Rhinolophus ferrumequinum: one gene and its partner. The protein of the gene in region 1 binds, or shares a complex with, the protein of each later gene. Links are inferred from orthologs where the notes say so. Each region holds a gene or a part of one and is shown on either strand. Other genes may lie near its edges.

The links.
Region 2: TADA2A (region 1) and KAT14 share a complex: the UniProt entries of both Homo sapiens proteins name them as parts of the ADA2A-containing complex. The link is inferred for Rhinolophus ferrumequinum from reciprocal best matches to the Homo sapiens genes TADA2A and KAT14.

The regions. Positions count from the first base shown.
Region 1 is NC_046304.1:23,901,375-23,911,697, reverse strand, and holds the start of TADA2A (transcriptional adapter 2-alpha), read left to right. Parts: upstream 1-6,079; 5' UTR 6,080-6,146; intron 6,147-6,387; exon of another isoform or gene 6,388-6,515; intron 6,516-8,355; 5' UTR 8,356-8,451; coding exon 8,452-8,476; intron 8,477-10,323. Other genes in the region: ACACA (acetyl-CoA carboxylase 1), read right to left, coding at 5,479-5,744, 5,924-5,929. UniProt on the Homo sapiens protein: Component of the ATAC complex, a complex with histone acetyltransferase activity on histones H3 and H4. Required for the function of some acidic activation domains, which activate transcription from a distant site. Binds double-stranded DNA.
Region 2 is NC_046306.1:38,431,163-38,441,684, reverse strand, and holds the start of KAT14 (cysteine-rich protein 2-binding protein), read right to left. Parts: upstream 3,852-10,522; 5' UTR 3,531-3,851; coding exon 3,272-3,530; intron 1,380-3,271; coding exon 1,261-1,379; intron 1-1,260. Other genes in the region: protein PET117 homolog, mitochondrial, read right to left, coding at 3,852-4,001, 7,615-7,710. UniProt on the Homo sapiens protein: Component of the ATAC complex, a complex with histone acetyltransferase activity on histones H3 and H4. May function as a scaffold for the ATAC complex to promote ATAC complex stability. Has also weak histone acetyltransferase activity toward histone H4.

The DNA of each region.
Region 1 (10,323 bases):
AAAGGTGCTAAAGCAAGCAAGCAGTAAAAGAAACTGTTTAATTGTTGGTGTTCTGGAAACCTATAGGTTTCCAGTCGTTAGTTCTTGATTTAAATAATGAAAAAATTCTAATGCCAAGCACTAGCCAACCTAACCTAGAACAAGTTCTAAACAAGCCCCAGGGTCATCCTATGAAGCACTTAGAGAATTACAATTACAATTACAATTATAATTATAGGGGCCGGCCTGGTGGCTCAGGTAGTTGGAGCACCATGCTCCTAACGCCGTGCTCCTAACGCCGAGGTTGCCAGTTGGATTCCCACATGGGCCAGTGAGCTGCACCCTCTACAGCTAAGATTGTGAACAACAGCTGTCCCTGGAGCTGGGCTGCAGTGAGCAGCCGGAGGTTGGCATAAGCTGCCATGGGCTGCTGAGTGCTGTTGTGTGCTGCCATGAGCTGCCGGTGGCGGTCGGTGGGAGCTGCTGTGAGCTGCTATGAGTGGCCAACCTACAACTGGCGACCGAATGCCTCAGCTGGGGGAAGTGCAAGGCTCATAATACCAGCATGGGCCAGTGAGCTGTGTCCCACACTAGACTGAGAAACAACAGCTTGAACTGGAGTAGGGGGTGAGGCGGAAGAAAAGGGAAAAAAAAATTACAATTATTTGACTTTCACCATGAACTAGGTACTATACATACATCATCACAAAACTCTTACTAGGTTTTGTTTTGTTTTCATTTTACATGTGAAAAGAAGCACAGATAATAACTTGCCTAAATTCTTGAAGGGTAGTGAAGGGTGGAGACAGGATTCAAATTCAGAAAAGCTTCAAAGTCCATGCTTTTTCCATTATATTAAACTATGCCACGTTCCTTACAAATCATATTTCAAACATTTATTAGGTACTTGTTGATTGCAAAAGAATAGACTGCCTGTCATCAAATGATGCAAAATATTTTAGGAGCCTGTTTTGACAGTCAAAAGGTGGAGGCCCTGTATAACAGGCTGAAAAGCATGCAGCTAGGCTGCCTAGTAGGCATTTTAAAGTTTTCTGATCAACAGTGACTCATGGGACAGATATCCTGTACTTTTTGTAAATCAAAATGAAGTCAGTGAGGTGTTGAAGAGGCAGATGAGATGGGTAGCAAAGGTTTGGATTCATGAAACCTCTACTTAATGGCCATAGCATTATAAAACCCTGATTCCTGCTAAATTCTTCAGTTTTAAATAGTCAGAAGCGGTTTCTTAAGTTACATTTGGACACATGTGGTTTTAATTCTGGCTGTGCTACATAGTAAATGAATGTCTTTTGGGCAAGTGATTTTACCTCTCTGAGCCTTGTTTTTCCTCATCTGTAAAGTGGGATACTGCAGGGCCCTTCACCAGAATTTCTTTCCCCTCTTGTTCACCTTTGAGATCTTTGGGGCCCTCCTACTTATGCAGAAGCACCCCAGACAGGTCACTGTGTGGAGAAATGGCTACATGTAGGTCTTGCATTTCTTTTTTTCTTTTTTTAAATGTTTGTAAGTTTATTTGAGCCAAAATGATGACATATTCTTGGGAGCAAGATATCACATACTCCCTAGATCTTACATTTCTTTAAGCAGATTAGGAGAGGTGCATCAGCCCTTCCTCTGCAGACTGATCATAGTTGGAGTGGATTAAGTAGCAGTCTAGGAACCTTCTGGAAGGAAAAGGATTGATTCCCTAACTCCTTCCACTAGGGTGGCAATAAAGGGAGAAAGATAGGGAAGGGTGGAGTGAGAGGGGCAGGAAGGAGGAAGGCAATGCTCTTGATGCCAGAGATAGCAACAGAGAATAAGGAGGCTGGAACCAGTCCTGAGTCGGGCCTCAAGAACTGTAATCCTTGAGGCTCAGGCCTTTTGTGGAGTGAAGCCCTCTCTATTGAGTGCGTCACAGGAAGACTCTTAGCCTTGAAGAGCCCCTATAACTGGCAAAGGGCTCTGCTCTGGGACCTAAATTCCTGGTTAATTTACATTGACTGGTATGTCTCAGAGTTTAAAGGGGAGGAAGTTGAAACCTAAAAGGCATAGCTAGACTTTTAGATTTTCTATTTTATCTATTTGTATACCAAAATACAGAGAGCCACTTCAGTTACAAGAAAAAATAAACATTAGATGAGATAAAGTTCATAAAGTCTTTGAGAACTCTGGACGTAACAAGTAACTAGAAATGGTAGAGAATCATTTCCATAGGGAGGGAGGCTCAGAAACTGCACTTCTGATTTTAACAACCGCAGCTCAGTATTTGAAAAGGAGTTGTTGGGATAGTTTGGACTCAGTCAATGGCAGCCACAATACAAAGTCTGACAGTATGATACAATTTTCCTCGTTGGGTTTCGAATTCAAAAGTCAGCCTTCTGAGTTAGTTATGAATGGAAGGGCTTGGAGAATGTGCTATTATTAATCTGTTCTGAAGGTCAGCCTTCAAAAAATATTAACCCAACCTGGATTGATCCTGGTAATGTAAATTTCTGTCTTAAGGAGGATGAAAGGTGTTTTCTCAGGTTCCTTTACAGACATGTTTAGTGAGGGAAGCAACGAGGTACTTAGTCATCCCTGCTAGGACAGGTTCAATACAGGTTGTACTGGAAGTATGCAAAGGGGGTACTTAACCCAGACTTGGGGGCCAGGAGAGATGCTCCTGAGGAAGTAATGTCTAAGTTGAAGTGGAGATACCCTGGCAAAGGAAGCTTGGAAGGAACAGGGTGCATAACGGAAAATCAAGGTACGTCCGTCGGGCTGGAGAATGACGTGTGAGATGGGGCAGTGATGACAAACAGAAAGACACTAGACCTTGAAGGGCCTTCTACAAAGAGTGATCACATAATTTATTGTACAAACTGAGACGCTTTTGAGAGTGAAATGAGACAATGTAACTAATTATATTGGGACAATAGGAGTAAATCAGAACTGTCCTGAGCCAGTTGGGACTTATGGTCACCCTACTTGTAAGTCATGTTCAGGTGCTTGGACCGCCAGTGAAAGCATAGATTGGATATAGCTTCTCTTTTTACCTTATACATTTTGCCTGAGTGACTTCATCCATACCTTTGCCTTTACTTGCTTATTTCACAAATATCCGTCCAGGATGCACTTCTGGGCACTGAGGTTATAAAGAAGAAAAGACACAGTGTCTGTCCTCAAGCTCTGTCTAAAGAAGACACACATCCAAAGAAACAATTCTAATAACAATTATACAGTTTTAGCCCCTGCCTCTCCTCTGAGCTCTGACCTCATTATGTCATTTCCACTCAGGTTGCAAAACACAGATACAAAACAGAACTTCTAATTTCTCTTCCAAATCTATTCTTCCTTCAGCTGGTCTTATTGATGTCACTATCCACTACACTGCTGAAGGCAAAAATTCAGAAAATCACTACCTTAATCAGTGCTATCCTTCTTCTCACTGTGCATTTTAATTTCTCCACATCTTTCTTAAGTACAATGACTAAATTCTTTTTTTTACTTATATTTATTTATTTTTAATTAAAGTTTATTGGGGTGACAATTGTTAGTAAAGTTACATAGGTTTCAAGTGTACAATTCTGTAATACATCATCTATATCTCATATTATGTGTTCACCCAGAGTCAGTTCTCCTTCCATCACCATATATTTGACCCCGTTTACCCTTTTCTAGAACCATCGCCCCTCTCCCCTTACCCCCTGGTAACCCTAAACCATTGTCTATGTCTATGAGGTTTTGTTTCTTCATTTGTTTGTCTTGTTCTTTTGTTGTTTTCAGTTACCACATGTCAGTGAAAACGTATGGTTCTCTAGTTTTTCTGTCTTATTTCATTTAGCATTATAATCTCAAGATCCATCCATGTTGTCGCAAATGGTATTATTTCACCTTTTCTTACGGCTGAACAATGACTAAATTCTAATCAGGGCCTAACATAAATTGAAGAGAAAGGGTAATTTTCAGGTGCTTGAATGTAATGTTTTTAATGAATAGATCCTAGTATCATAAGGGACTGTTTTTTCCACAATAGTACAACATTAATGACTCATACTCCGTTTGTTGACAATCATGACGTTCAGATCTGGATGTATGCCCTCGCCAGTCTCAAAAAATTTCAGTTTAGGTGAGAAAGACATGAAGATAAGTCTTGAGTGTTTGACCCTATCTCCTCTTTATGGAGAATGTGCGAGTAGTTATACAAGTGTTAAGGTGTAGGTGAAACACGGATGTTAATAAACGATCTTTTCAACAATTGCTGTGTAAAGGGATAATTTATGCTTTAAAGGCCAATTTTAATGTTTTTACCACCTATTCTCCACACAGCTTCCAGAATGATCCTTTTAAAACAAATCTGATTATTCCTTAGCTCTCAAACCTTCCACGGCACTCTATATCTCAATAAAACCCAAAGTCCAACCATGGTTTACCAGATGATACATGATCTGACTTCTGCCTCTATTTCCCAACTTGTTTCTGTAATTTGCTGTGCTCCAACCACACTGGTCTCCGTGCTTCTTCTCCAAAATGCCAAGCAAGTCCCTATCTTAGGGCCACTGCGATTGCCATTTCTTGTCTCCTAGAATAGTTTCCCTCTAGAAACCCACATAGCTGCCTCCCTCATTTCATGATTATATTTCTGCTTATGTGCTCTTCCATTAAGAGGCCTTCCTTGTCTATCACATCTAAAAGAGCATCCCACATCACTCTTATCCCTTTATCCTGCCTTTTACCCCATAAATATTGCCACATTACTGGGCATTATCTATTATTTAGCAATATATTACGTGTATTACTTATTGTCAACCTCCCATTATAAGAGGCAGACTTTGTTTTGTTCACTGCTGAATTGCCAGAACGTAGAACAGTGTCTGCTCATTAAATATTTGTTGAATGAATAGATTTTTAGGCTACATTAAATGTAAAACTACTCTGTATTTATTGATATGATGCATAGAAAAATGTCTGTAAGAGTGCACAGCAAAATGTTAACTGTTTATTGAACATGGTGGGAGGGGGCTCCTTTTCACATTTTTGCTAGTGAATTTTCTTTTTTTTTTTTTAACAAAATGAACTTGTTTTACTCATACACTAAAAAATATAAAGAGGCCATATAGACAGAAAGTGTAAATGAATTCTAAAATTCTAAAAGAGGCTGGACAATTTTATGAAAGACAGACTTTTTCCTTTATCTTTTTTGTTTCTCTTTTTTTTTTCCTTTAAGACAGACTTCTAAATAGAGTAACAGCAGAATAATTAAAATACACCACAGTTTGAATCCCCTTCCCCAACACTTTCCAGCAGTGTGATCCCAAGTTATTTATTGATAAGCCAGAGTCTAAATGTCTTCACCTGGAAAATGGGCATAGTGCCTACCTCAAAAGGTTATTTTTGAAGATTTAATGAGACCATGTATGTAACCTCCTTTGTACAATGACTGGCATGCAATAAACACTTGGCATATAGTAGCTATTATAATAATTAGTAGTAGTAGTAAGAGATGTTGGGACATACCTAGCCCTCAAGATTGACATCAGAGTGGACCACCACATCCTCCCATCATTGTGCGCCTCAATCTGGGCCTCTGAAGCCCAAAGAGGGGATGGTTCTTTCCAAAGAAGACAATTTCGACGTTCCAGAAGCATCTGAATAAAACGTAACCTGTTCACCCTTAAACCATTCGGTCTGGTAAATCCACGAACAGCACTCCAAGACCGGCTTCCACAGGCGGCCACAGCTCGCCGTCCTTGGGCCCAGTCCCTTAGCCTCAATTTCCTCTGCTGCAACAGGAGTGAGAGTGTTAAAAACACAAAAGCAGGACAGTACCGGCCCGCCCCACCTCACGGCACTCCGGCGGGGATCGAGCGGCACCACGCCCCGGCAAGCCTCTGGCGACCAGAAACGCACCTCACGGGAGAAGTGATTACTGGTCAGACTGAAAGTCAGGCAAAGGGCTCACCCGCATCCTCTCAGGCCTCTGACAGAGGACAGTGACAGGCGCGCGGCACGAGACAGGGCCACGAAGGCCAGGGAAGGGAAGGGGCGGAGGCGGAGGGCGCGCGGCACGCTGCGGGGCCGCGAGGGGACCGGGCGCGCTCGCGCCGCTCGGGAGCGAGCACGCAAGCCCAGTGGCGCGCACGTGGCTGGCGGCTCCTCGGCGCACAGGAGGGGGACACTGCGAGGTGAGGCACGAGGCGCTGCAGGGCGGGCGGCGGCGGCAGCGGCGGGGTGCGAGCCCCTCTAGCCGGACGAGGGGGAGGCGGGGACCGCGAGGTTCTGTGGGGATCGGGGTCAGGCTGCAACACCCTCGGCTGGGGAGACGCGGCGGGTAGGCGGGCGTGCGGCGCCGGGCCACGTCGCGCTGTGGGGGAGGGCGGCGCGGGGCGGGGCATTACCCCTTGGGTCCCGCCCCGCGGGGAGGGTCGTCTAGCCGTCTGGCCGGCCCTGCGCTGTCTCAGCCTCGGTATTTCCGTTTCTATGGTGGAGCGCGTAACTACGTTAACAGCCGCTGTGTGTCATGTCCTTACAGACGTTTCCCATTGAGTTTTCAGGTAGGCCTTCCAAAGTAGGTATTTCATCTACTTTTTAGAGCTGAGGCTGGCCGAGGCTCAGCTAAAATGACTTGCCCAAGGTCATACAGCTAATACAGAATGAAAGGATTTGAACCTTGTCTGCAAAACCGCACAGCCTGCACCTGTCCTCTGTACCACACTTAATGCTGTTCTTCACGTACCTTCCGTTCTCCCAGTAACAACTTTGAGTTTGACAAATGTTAATTTGGAGCTAGCACCCATCCTTTCTTTGGTGGATGTTAGTGTCAGAAATGTCTCTTGTGAGAAGAAGGGAGAGGAAGAAAGAAGATCCTGCTGATTGCAATATTGTGCTTATGCCATGGAAATGTTTATCAGACTGTTTATACATCCTTTACTTGACCCACTCAACTAACCTCTGTCGAAATGGTGTTGCTGTTCACTGCCTGTAAGGCATTGTACAAGTAACATAATCTTTCAGGGCTTCCTTTCCTTCTTTGAAAAAAAGTAGTACGCCTCAGGTTGTGAGGATTCAAAAAGACAATCCAAATACAGTGGCACCACAATACCTGGCATATGAGAAAAGTTCAGTAACTGTTGGCCACTATTTTATTACCAAGTGCATAATACCCTTTGCTAAACTCATTTTTCTTCAAAGACTAACTTTTTCTGAGACTAGAGCAGAGGGATAACTATTCCCACCCAGCCCACCACCCAAAAAACAGGGTCATGACAGCCATGTTATCTGAGTGTTGATACACTTAATGATGAATTATTCCTCAACCTAAAAATATCCGGTGAAAGAAGTCACTTCAGAAGAACCTTTTAAATTAACCTTTTGAGGAACTAATATTTATCCATTACCAATACATTTGTGTTTACTGAGTTCTTTTTGTGTGTTTGGCATTGTGCTTAGTACTTGAAGGCATACAGATTTGTATTGGACATAGTTCCTGCTTTCATTTACTCTAAAAATGGGGAAAAATAGGTATTCATACGTAATCCTCACAAAGTAGAATGTAAAAAAATGCCATAAAAGAGATAGACAAAAAGCTATGGGAGTATAGAAGGAGGGATGTTTTCTTGGCTTAGTGTGAAATACATACTTGTATTTCTGCCTTAAAGAAGATACTGTGTACATTGTACATACCTATTAAATATTTGTTCAAGGAGTAAATTGGTGAACAAATGCATGTTGTAATGGATAGGATTCCTGGGTTTCTGGTAAAGACACTTATTCATATATTAAAGTGTTATTGGAAAGAGTGAAATGAGAAAAAGAAGAAAACTAAACAGTTTAGCCACTCTTGGGGATTCGGATCTCAACAGCCAGAGCTCATGGACCAAATTCTTTGACTAGTGAATAACTGAACTCCAACTACCTTCCATCCTTGTATGTCTTATTCAAGATTCAGATTTCTCTGAGATCTGGTCATTTAAGCTGTTGTGGGGGTAGAGAACGGAGTATTCCAAGTGGCAACCCCACCAGAACCATATGAAATGTAGAGTCTGTTTCCCTAAGGAAAGGGGGCTAAGGAGAGAAATGAGACCAAGAAGAGAAAATCAGTAGTGTACTAGGGAAATGTCGCCTTTGTAAAGGGCTTACTATTGGCCAGGCACCATGGTACATTATTTGTATGGATATTTAATTTGATATTTAATCCTCACAACAGCTCTGTGAGATAGATACTATTATATCATACCCATTTTACAGAGGGGGAAATAGGCTTATAGAAATAAAATATTTTCTTAGTGTCACAAAGCAAGGATGTGGTAGAGTTGAGTATGTTGCATTATCTTTTCTTTCTCTTACTTACTCGAATTATTTCCTGATCCATGTGCCACTTTGGTTTGTTCATAGGGGGACATCAAGCTTTGGTGTATGTGTTGACCAGTTCTGAAATCTCCTTGAAGGAGCACTGCATTGAGGAAGATCAAAGTCTCTGCCAATTAGGGAATGGACCGTTTGGGTTCCTTTAGCAGTAAGTACTATGTGAACAAGTCTCAGGTGAATATTAATAGCAAACTGTAGTGGAACTTGGTCAAAGAAGAAAAACAAGCATTTTGAAGTTAAAGTCCTGTGAATCTGATCTTAAAGAAATAAGAGTCTCAAATCAAAATAAAATCAACCAATACTTAATATAAGTGGGTTCAATCAATGAGATTGCCCACTGAACACATGACAAACATATCACCTAGGTTTTATAAGAAAACTAAGCTCAGCTAGACCCGGCATAGTATGATTAACCTGCGTTTAGACCCACAAAAGCATTTGGATTTCTCTTTAGCACCAATAACATATTTGTGATGCCTTGATAAGAAATAATGTCTGTGGTAGAATAAAGGAAATGCACCTCTCCCCATTTCAGAGTAAACCACAGGATAATAATAATGCAGAGAAATGTGGCATATGTGTGAGATAAATTCAGGCCGCCACAACTATAGAGAAAAATAGTGCTTTTTCGCTGATTCTGAAGATAAGAGATTTGGCAGAAATAGAAATCCATTGGAAGATGTTAGTATTATCCCAATGAGAAGAATCAAAAAGGGTATTTTTGGGTATTGTTTCCTCTTCAGCAATTTTTTTATAGGGGCTCTAATTTACTCTCTCATCACACTCTATATAAACTTAGTACAAAATAAAGTCTTCAAACACATCTGGTTCAAATTTCTCATTTTGCACATGGAAAAAGAACCTAAATTAATTGTCCCTCCTTAAAAATAATTTTTAAACTTTTTACTTGGAAGTAATATTAAACTTACAGGAAAGTTAGAAGAATAAGAATAGTACAAAGGATACCTGTACACCTTTCATTAATCTTTTACTCCATTTACGTGCTTTCTTTCTTTCTCTCAATAAATATATATATTTATTATATATTGACAAATATATGTAGACATACACACACCCCTTTTTTTTTTGGAATCATCTTGGAATGCAACTTTAAGTAAAACGACGTATAAGAGACCAATTTTACCATAGGCTAATTGATATAAACAAGAGTTACAATCCTGTGGCATGTTGCTTGTCACAAAAACATCACCAAACTTCTAAATAAAGACTCAAAACACTTCTAATATTAAACATTGAAATAAACGCAAGCTATATTTAGGAAAGATGAATAAAAACAAGATAGTAATTCTTTTCCAACCCACTTATTCCTGTTCAGTGTTGAGGGTGGCTAGAGCCTATTCCGGCAGCTCACGGCACAAGGTGGGAACCGACCCAGGACAGGATGCCCTCCCACCGCAGAGCACACTCACACACACCCCACACTCACTCACACTGTGATAATTTAGACGCCAGTTGACTTCACATGCACATCTTTGGGATGAGGGAGGAAACTGGAGTCCCGGAGAAAACCCATACAGATATGGGGAGAATGTGGAAACTCCTCACACCGGCTCCAGCCAGAATTGATTTTTTTTTTTTTCTGTCATCAACATTGTAACAAAATGACATTGAAGGAAAAAAATGTTATCTGAGGACCAGCTAAATATCTTGGCCCTTTATTCCTGAGTACTTTAGGGTTTATTTCCTAATAGGTATATTTTATTATATAACCTCAGTAGTGTTATCAACTTCAGTAAATTCAACATTAGACAAAAATGCTTTGATCTAACCTACTGTCTGGGGTAACCGGGGATACACAGATCTGCATTTTTATGACCTTAGAGAGTGTGGATTTTATGCCTTACCTTAATATTTAAGAACCGTGCTGTCAGTGGCACTGAAGGAAGGTCTGTTATGTTCTGTTCTTAATGTGGGAGAAAAGGAGGGTGCTTTCCTGGGTTTAATTCCCAACTCAAATATAACGTAGTATATCCC
Region 2 (10,522 bases), on another chromosome or scaffold:
AAGAACCTCCACAGAAAACTCATATTCTTGAAAATAACTAATTATATATATTTGTTCCTCTTCTGTTCTATAACTTTTGAGAAGCTACTTACTTGTAGGCCAAACGCAAATCTGCCTAAGAGTGCACACATCAGAATAATCTATTAATACTAATTGGACCTTGTCTACATGAAGCCCCCATGTACATCTTGAGAAAAATACCGCAATTACAATATTCATAACACTATATCCTCAATACAAACTTCCCTTCATTTTCTACTTTTATTTTTTCAGACAAGTCAAAAAGGCTCCCTCCATTTACCACCGACAGATTTCATTAGACGTCCTAATAAAGGACTGATAATTAAAATAAATCTAAGGCTGCTAAAGCAACCACAACTTACAGGGAACACTTTCACTGGCTTGCATGGTATAATCTACAATCTCTTTCTTATTACCCTGCTTATTGCCTTCACAGCAAAAAAGCGCTATGGGTAATTATTTATTTGTCTGCTTATTATCTAAAATAAATGTCCAGAATGTAAGCTGGTTGGGGCCGGGGTCTTAGCTGTCTCGTTCATCACAGTAGTCTCTGAGCCTAAAACAATGTATGGGTTCATCATAGACACTCAATATTTGCTGAATGAATAAACATAAAATTGTGTATGTATAACTCATTCCTTTTTAGAACTTAAAGACTATATACATTGTGCCTACTATAGACAATATAAAAACAAAATCAATAAAATACAACCAAAGAGTGTAAAAAGCTACTCTTCAGGCTATATGGTTGGATAAAGGTGTTAGTATTGAAGATGATTAAAAGCAGACATAAGTATTCATCAAACAAAAAATATTCAAATATGTGAGTTCAAATGAAGAAAAGCTAGATGATGTTGGTTCTGCAATCAGCCACATTATGTCTTCCAAATCTATTTCTAATGTGGCCATCTTCACATTTTAAAAAATTTTATTATTCCAAAAATAGCTGCCAGAAAAATGTAAATCTCATTCTCAATTAAAATCTGAGTTTGGCATTATTATATGTAAATGAAATTGTGTGTGTGAAGTTTTCAAGAATCTCAAACCCAATTCACTAAGTTAGCAGCGAGTACCAATAACTTTCAGTACATATTCTGTATATAATTTTCATTGGGAAATAAAAAGTGACCCTCAAGACAACTCAAAAGCTCATCATTTAAATTCCTTTTTCTCTAGATATTCCAATAAATTCCTTGGGTGACCAACCTTATGAATTCTACAGAAGAGCTTTTTACTCACTTGTTGCCATGTTAGCTTCAGCCTTTCACACTGCTCCTTACCATCTTCTGAGCAATCGGAACAAGTAAACCTAAAAAAATTATCACCCTTAAGGTAACTGAGCTGTTCCCTCAGCTGACCTAGGAGGAAAAAAAAAAGGCATATTATAAGTTTATCTAGAGCACTGGTAACCCAAAGGTTTACAAATTCTCCAAGTTTCCCATGCTGTTTTTCCTGTTTTTAGCCAGCCCATAGCAGGAAGTGGGCAGGGAAGGGAGCAGAGAAGAAAGATGTTTATTCTTCCAACATCTAGTGCATGCCCACCAAGATCAGTGGTTCCTTACTTTCAGGAGAAAAGATACTGGGAAAAGCATGTATTATTGCTCCCACTGGATTTTCCAGCTGTTAACATTCTTGACTCCTATAGGTCTCTTCACACATCCTTTCAAAACACATCTGAGCTCCCACTGTCAGGCACTGGGCTAGAAACTGGGCATACCACACCCAGAACAGCCATACTGCCTGCTCTGGGTAGTTTACAAATGCCGTAAGGGAGACGAGGACAGATGTAATCACAACGGCACAGTGGCCCTCCATCCTCACTGCGCACCGGAATCACCCAGGGAGTTGTTTTCTGTTTTTAATATGCCTCAGCCTACCCCACATGAAATGAATCAAGCTGTGGGGCCTGGGTTTCTGCATTTTTTAAAGTTCCCCAGGTGACGCTGATGTTCTGGAAGGCATAAAACCATTGCAATGAAACATGATCTGTGGCAAGGGCAATGTTAAGGCACATAAAAGGGGAGCCCAACCCATATTAGGAAGATAGGAGAGCTAGAAAAAGTGGGTTCTACAGGATGCCTAGAATTGGCCAGGGGGAGAGAGAGGCACTTGTGTATATGGGTTGGGGTGCAGTGGGGGTGGGAACGACATGGAGGCTATAGAGATGCATATTCCAGAGAGGAAATTAACATGTGCTAAGTCCTAGGGATAAAAAGGCTTGTCTGTGAATTGAGAGCTCACCCTAACTGCAAAGTTCTATTTAACAGAGGCTAAAGTTAGCAGGTTTCCAATCATAAAGGTCAGTTTAAAATATAGCCTGTAAGGACAAAGGGAAAGCCACTGAGCTTTTCAGGCAGGACCCTGAATTAATAAGCAGAAAGAAACAACTCAAAAGCAAAAACTACCTAATATGTAATAAATTCTAGGTTTGTTTTCTGTGCAAAAGTTATCTATTAGTAGTAACTATTAATATGACTAGTTGAATCTTAACAGAAACATTTCCACATGCCAGAAAATGACCCACTTCACAATTATATACATGTAAATATTTCTCTGACCTAGTTAGAAATTCTATCACACAAAGTCTCTAATATATACGTCTCTACTGGTTATCTGCCTAATGGAAAAATCCTGTTTTGGTAAGACTCATGATGACTGACAAAGCATACCCTTCCTTTAGAACCAGGAACCTAGCAATTGAAAAGACTGAGTTGAAAGACTGAAGTATCAGGGAACCATGTGTGTATATATCTCTTGCCAGCAGATCAAAGAGACCAACAAGTAGAAAACAAAAATGGTTCTAGACGAGCACGAAACACTTCTAATCTGCTAATTCTGACCTTGCTTCAGCATACAATAGCAGTTTTCCATGTAGTTAAATATTAGGAGTAATTTTTATGAACACGAACTTTAATTCTACACTGGGCCTAGAAATTTGGCCCCAAATTCTTAACATCATCTTGTTACGAAACTCTGGATAATTCTTTAAGTAACACAGGACTTCCAATTATCTAATTTTTATTGGGTTGCCATCAAGAATGTTCAAATTTAACAATGTGATAGAGGTTGATAGTAATTTTTATTGGTACAAATGTGTCTGTTTTATATAAATTTGTAGTTAATCAACTAAACTAAAAATAAATATACTAATTATCTTTTTATTTAGGTCTAGTTTACATTCATGTGTCTTTCAGTTAGGAAAAAAACCACATAGGACTTGACAAATGAAAGGAATTGAGAAGCTCCTTACTAGCAGGGATCCACTTTTGGCACTTGTCACAGAAGTAGGACAGCTGCTCCTCCATCCAGGACACATCTCCCTCATCACTGTTAAGGGAATCCCCACTCTGATCATGAGACAGGTCCACTGATGCCTGGTCCTCGGATTCAACAAGCAGCAGAGTTTCCCCCTCCACTTCACCCTCCTCCAGTCCTTCTGAGGTAGATGTTCTTGTGGCTTCATCATCGTGGCGACTTATCAAACTACCCAAGTGGATGTTACTATCCATCCCCTCCTTCTCACAGGGTCAGAAGTGCTTTTCGTAACAATCCTAAACTCTGGACACCAAGCTTAAAGCAGCTTCTATCAGGATTACACAAACAGAAAGAGACTCTTCAGAAGTGTCAGCCCATTTCTCTATTCAGATATAAAGAACTTTTAAAGTAATAATTTAGAATACATGGCCCATTGTCCTTTTACTTGATCGAGTTTAAAATGACAGTGACAAAAACAGGTTGAAGATCTCACTAAGCTATTCTCCATCAACATATTCACACGCATATACACTCAACATTATCTGTCCCATCAATATTCCACATTTCACTTTAAGTCAATGTTTTTTGAGATCCTTTGCCAATAACGTTTTCTCTCTTTCTGCTTCAAGTTGTTCAGTCAAAATAATCTGTTCTCCCAAAAGACGAATGTTTTCTTTTTTCCGATTTTGCCTCTCAATGTCTCTGATCACTCCGTCACGAAGCCTCTAAAAGGGTAAGAAACAGATTTCAGTAACACCCTGAACAGGTGGTTCCCATCCGTGTGCCATTCAAATCCAAATAACAGTGTTACCAAAATACACTTAAAACTTTCAGATTCTAAATACCCAATTACTATTTTAACTTTCTGTACAAATGGAAAATGTAATAAACCATCAAATTAATTTGGTAGTGTCATCATTTAAATGACTACTTACCATATTTAAAGAAATTCATAAACATTTAGTATAGAAAACTTGATTGGAAATAACAACTAAAAATAGAAAAAACTACCACTATGTTGAATTTTACAAGGAGTTTGGTATGATTCTTTAAAAGTTTAAGGAGTTACTACAGTAAGTCTGTGAGCTACTTTCCTGTTAGCAATTATCCTAGCTGAAAAAACATCAAAGAAAAAAAAAAGATTACTAAAATTTGAACAAGCTGTAAGGTGCATGCAAGAAAGTAAAGAACCCAGGGTGGCCCGGTGGCTCAGGCAGTTAGAGCTCCATGCTCCTAACTCCGAAGGCTGCAGGTTCGATTCCCACATGGGCCAGTGGGCTCTCAGCCACAAGGTTGCCAGTTCAATTCCTCTAGTCCCGCAAGGGATGGTGGGCAGCGCCCCCTGCAACTAAGATTGAACACAGCACCTTGAGCTGAGCTGCTGCTGAGCTCCCAGATGGCTCAGCTGGTTGGAGTGCGTCCTCTCAACCACAAGGTTGCTGGTTGGATTCCTCCAGTCCTGCAAGGGATGGTGGGCTGCGCCCCCTGCAACTAGCAACGGCAACTGGACCTGGAGCTGAGCTGCGCCTTCCACAACTAAGACTGAAAGGACAACAACTTGAAGCTGAACGGCACCCTCCACAACTAAGATTGAGAGGACAACAACTTGACTTGGAAAAAAGTCCTGGAAGTACACACTGTTCCCCAATAATAAAGGCCCATTCCCCTTCCCCAATAAAATCTAAAAAAAAAAAAAAAGAAAAGAAAGTAAAGAACCCAGCTTCTTCTCATATATAAAAAGTAAAAATTATACAGAATTACTAATCAATCACATAAAGGGAGAGAAAGGAAAAAAAAAGAACGCTACTACCACAGGAAAAACTAAAGGCCCATTAATGGTAGTTACTTTGATAAGCACTAAAGACAGGTAGAAAACTCCAAAACATGGACCTGACACCTAAAATGAGACTTTAAAGCATCAATCCAGTCATTACTAACAACTAACATTTTATAGTGTACAGGTCACAAAATGCTCTAATAAGCTTTTAACAGTAGCCTTGTGTGGTAGAATTAATGGGGCTTGGGCCCAGGGCCTGGATGTGTTTTTTAAAATTATTATGTCTATCTAAAAGTAACCAAGTACCTACTTGCTAGACCTCCTCCAGGCCTAGAGCTTCATTCTCTATTACAGGGGAGTAGAGAAATTTAAGTCCTGGGACCGATAACTCAACTGACAGCCAACTTTCTTGATACCTACATCGTTGGCAAGATCTCCAGACAGAAATGGAGGTGCTCATTCCACTGCTCCCTCCCCAGTTCTTCCTGTCCTGTGCTCCTGACACCATGACATAACTACATATCCACCCCACCCATCAAACCCCACATTGGCCACTGGAATCATTCCACACCTGCCTCTGAGATTCTACCCTGCCTTTTCAGAGACTTTAGCTTGTTCTCCATGCATTATTTGCTTCTTTCTCCAAGTTTCAATGTCTACGCTGATTGCCTCCTACATCCTTCTTGTGACTTCCATTACTAACCTTACTAACCACTAAGACCTCTTCATTATTCCAATTCTAACTCTGACTCCTCATGTAAGTACTATTTGTTTTGCTGAGTTCCTATGAGGATTAAAGATGATGTTCTTGAAGAGCTTAGTATAGTGCCTGGTATGCGGTAAACAGTCAAGAAACAATAACAATAGTTATTATTTCTTGCTTCCTTGAACCTTCTGACACATCCACTATGTCAATCATGTAACCAACTCTTTCCCACTGCCAGAAATTAAGCCCAAAATAAATGACTGCATATAAGACAAACACAGGTTATTCTAATCAATCTGTTCTTCATCTCTAACTTCCAGCTATCCAAATCTTCCTGTTCTTTCATTCTCTAACTGCGGTTCTCAACCCTGGCTGCATGTTGGAATTCCCTGGATTGCTTTTGAAACGCCTAAGATGGATTCCCATCCCCCAAAGATTCTGATCTAAAAGGTCTGGAGTAGGGCCCAGCCTCAGTTGCGTTGTAAAAACTTCCCAGGAATATCAGATGTGTAGCTAGGGTTCAGAACCAAACTCTAACCCAGCCATACCAGACACTCTGAAAATCCCTGTTCACGGACCTCGGAGCTACATCTGACATACCATCCTCTACTCCATCTCAAATTTTCTTAGGATCACCATCTCTTCCTTCTTAGAAGAGGAAGACTCCTGCCTCTATTCCAAAAGCTAACCAGTTAGAACCCATACTTTCATCCCAAATCTCTTCCATGCCCTATCATTATTAGCCGTCCTGTGCCTTCCTCCCGAACGTTCCTGTATCCTCACAGGCTTCCTCTCCTCTGATTTCTGTGGACTGTGAATACCAAGGTCAAAGACCAGTCATCTCTGTATATTGAGGACACAGCAGAGTCCAATGCAAGAAATGAGTTTAAGGTTGATTCATCCAGTTCATTACTTTCACCCTTGGCAAACTAGGCTCAACCAACAACTGCGCCAAGGTATTCTCTAAGAGTTCACCAATGACCTAGTTCCCGTTCTCACACTCAACATTCTGCACTGTTTTGAATCATTTATAGTCTCAGAAGCGGCTGTGCTTCCTTATCTTTGTTTCCCCAAAGTGCCTAGTATGGTGCCTGGCACACAGTGATCAGTCATTAAACGTTTGCCAACTTGAATAAGAAAATATGAATTGAAAGACACAGAATGGACGGTCAGTTCACTGATCAGTAAGCCACGGATATTTCCAGAAATAAAAGTACCAAAAAAAGAAAAATTGGAGGCTAGTATCGCTGTCGTTCCCAGAATATAGTTTCCATAGCAAATTGCTGCTTAAAAAAAAAAATTCAAGCATCTCACCAAATTACCTTTGCCAAAGGCACGAAGGCGGGTGCAAGGATGCCTTCTTCATCATGGGATAAAATCTTTCTAGCATTTAAACAAAGTAGGACCCAGTCTAGGGTCTGGGGAGTGAAGAGAGGCCGGTAACTTGCTGAATGCACCCCAAGGAAGCCGGTTCCCCTCTTCTACTCTCTAGCGGCCCCAGTGAGATGCTGAAAGGTTCTATCACTGCAGGCTGTCTGTGACTTGAAAATGGAACCGTTGACCACCCCACCCGCGGGCGTTCGCGGAAGCCAGGCAACTTCAGCGCGGAGGGCCGGGCTCCAGGCGCGGGCCAGGACGGATTGGCCTGGGTCTCGAGGGCGCACGCGGCCGCTGGGGCTGCAGAACCCAGGGCCGAGCCGGCGGCCGCGGGACTGCACTAGCTAAAGCGTGGAGGCGCCCGGCCGCGCCGCCCGAGAGGACAGAAGACCAGGAGACGGGAACCATGCGGACACCGGAGAGGCCAAGGCCGCCGCCGCTGGGCGCCCCCCGGAAGAGATGGTCACGTGACACCGACCTGCTGATCCTGCCGCTGCTTCAGATGGACGCCGGCCACGGTGGCCACCGTCAGCACCACCGAGAGACCCAGCACTACCTTCGAGGTCCTCGACATCCCCGCGCGGGCCACCGCGGTCAGCCCCTCCTACTAGCGCGAGGCCCCAGGGCAACAGCTTAACGCGCGTCGCTGCCTGTGCAAGCCAGGCCCGACAGCTCGAGCGCAGAGCCTCAGTCTTCGCGAGTGACGCCAGCGGCTGCCAGGCCCGAACAATCGAGAGCCGAGCACCGAGTGAGGCACTAAGACTAGAGGGATCCACTCCCTACCCTGCGGGCGGCGGGGTTAAAATCCTCCCAATTCAAATTCTAAAGAGCCCTGGCCCAAAAGTGGCCACTGCACCTTGCGGGGGTGTGGGGGGGAAGGATGCTTGAGCCACCTCATTTTATTCCCCTCCCGCAGCGACTGGGGGCGTCCTGGGGTGGGAGTGCTGGTGTAGCGGGATTCCTACCGGGGTACCTTGCTGACTCAGATGCTTTGCTCAATACCAGCTTCATCAAACACAGCCCCCATTGTACTTTTGACCGAGGAGGTGCCACCAGGAGATGGAGTTTTGCTAGTTAAATGTAGACGCGGTCACCTGCTTTTACCTTGACGTTGTGGGGTGCTGCTCAATGTCTGATTTTTCTTAAAATCAAAAAGCCTTATAGCTAAAGAGCATTCTAACTGGGCAGCACACCTCCCTGCCTCCTGATATGAAGAGAACTGATTACCTTGTTGCCCATGTAATAAATCCTTAAGAGGTCACTTTTACCCACATCACTAGGAACATAAATGATAGGATGAAAGAGTGATTCGAGAATAGTGGAAGGTACTGTCCAAGGCACAGAAAGACGTTTGGCTTTTTAATGAAGAGGTGTTATCAAGTTATTCTTTCCCCCTGGAATTCACAGAGAACAGACTTCTTGCTGTGGAAACAGCTCTGGAAGATAATTGATTTGGGCTCAGTTTTGGTTAGCCTCTCCCAAGGGCTTCTTCGACATTCATCTCTGTTAGTGCTGTGCTATTCCAGGCTCTGCTATGCGAACATAAATGGCATGATGTGATATTGCTCTTAAGAAATTTAACATAATAAAAATTTAAATAATTAAAAAATATTAAATACCTTTTTCAAATGTCATTTTGTCCACAGCATTTTTATTAGCAGGAGGAATGCACCATTGACTTGGAAAACGGGATTCCTGCTATAACATACCTTGGAGTTAGAAGCTATTTATTCACGGTATATTTGCATATTTCTTTAAAGAAAAAGAAAAAAAACATATTATGCTGCTTTTTACTTGTAGTAAACTCCAGATATTTTTTCCCTCCGAGTCAGCGGGCCTTCAACAGAGCTACGTGTCCTTAAAATGTACCCCAGAGAGTTAGATGGTCTTTCATTCTATGATGACTAATTTTTTAACTTGTCTTCTTGAAATGTTTTGTTATTTCACTTAAAAAAAAATCCTTTTTGTGTTAGCCATGTCAAATTAAAACATGGATTATCTGTTTAAATATTTATAAACCTAAGCAGGATGTTTTGTATGATTATTGTCTTATAAATTACTGGGTTGTGAGAGAATGACTGCATACCATCAAACATTGAAACCAACTTTTTTCCCATTAAAATAATTTTCATCTAGTTTATATTTTTAAGTGTGTGCAGTGTTTAAACAAAAGCAGTTTTCTGGGATAACTTGAAGAGTTTCTACTAATGAATACATTTTCAAAAAGGAAAGTCCAGATTTGCTGATTTTCTCTTCTTTTTCAACAAACTTTGAATGTGCTAGGAGCAGTGGATTCAAGGTATCCCTATCCCCAATCCCATCCCTCAAGCAGATCAATGCCTGGAAGGAAGACAGACTGGTGTATCAACTAATCACAATAAAAAAGACAGTTGACAAGTAGCATCTGTTATGGAAAGCATGTTTGTGTCCCCTCTCCCATTGTTATGTTGAAATCATAAACCCATTGGCATGGTATTAGGAGGTAGGCCCTTTCGTACAGTAAGTAAGTTTAAATGAAATTATGAGGTTAGTGTCGCCATTATGGGAATAGTGTTCTTATAAGAGAAAGAGACTAGAGCTCCTCTCTCTACCATATGAGGACAAGGCAAAAAGGTGGCCATGTGCAAACCACGAAGAGGGCCTTTACTAGAACCTGACCATGTTGGCACTCTGCTCTCAGGCTTTCTAACCTCCAAAACTGTGAGAAATAAGTTTCTGTTGTTTAATCCACCCAGTCTGGGGTATTTTTGTATAGCAGCCACAGCTAAGACAGCAATGAAACTGTTTGTTCCCCAAAGTTAAATGTGAGTGTGGATCTACTACTCTAAAGTCAGTGTCACCCAACACAGGAGAAGATTCAAGACCGAGTGCTCTGTCAAAACCTTCCAGCAACTTTCCTTCAGGAACTAGGTGCTGGCTGGTATTGAATTCCTCACTTTCTTCCTCTCAGTGGTAAACTATCTCTAATGCTGACTAAATGGGAAAGTCCAGCTTAGCCATTGGAGACTCTAGCTGAGATCTGCTCCTGAAATAATCACAGAAATGACTACAAGCGGAGTTCCTACTACAAGGTCTAAAACTTAAAATTGAGGCCCACTCGCCGACAAGAATGGGGAAGAACTTACTTCATAATATTAGCAAATACTTAACACATGTACCACACACATGTTAAAGCTGTTTATCCTTTGACTAGCATCTCCCCATTTTTCCCACCCCCCTAGCCACTGGCAACCACCATTCCACTTTGCTCCTATGAGTTTGACTTTTTTAGATTCCACATGTAAAAAGTATTTGTCTTTCTGTATCTGGCTTATTTCACCTAGCATAATGCCCTTCAGTTTCATACATGTTGCAAATGGCAGGATTCCCCCTCTTTTTGTGGCTGA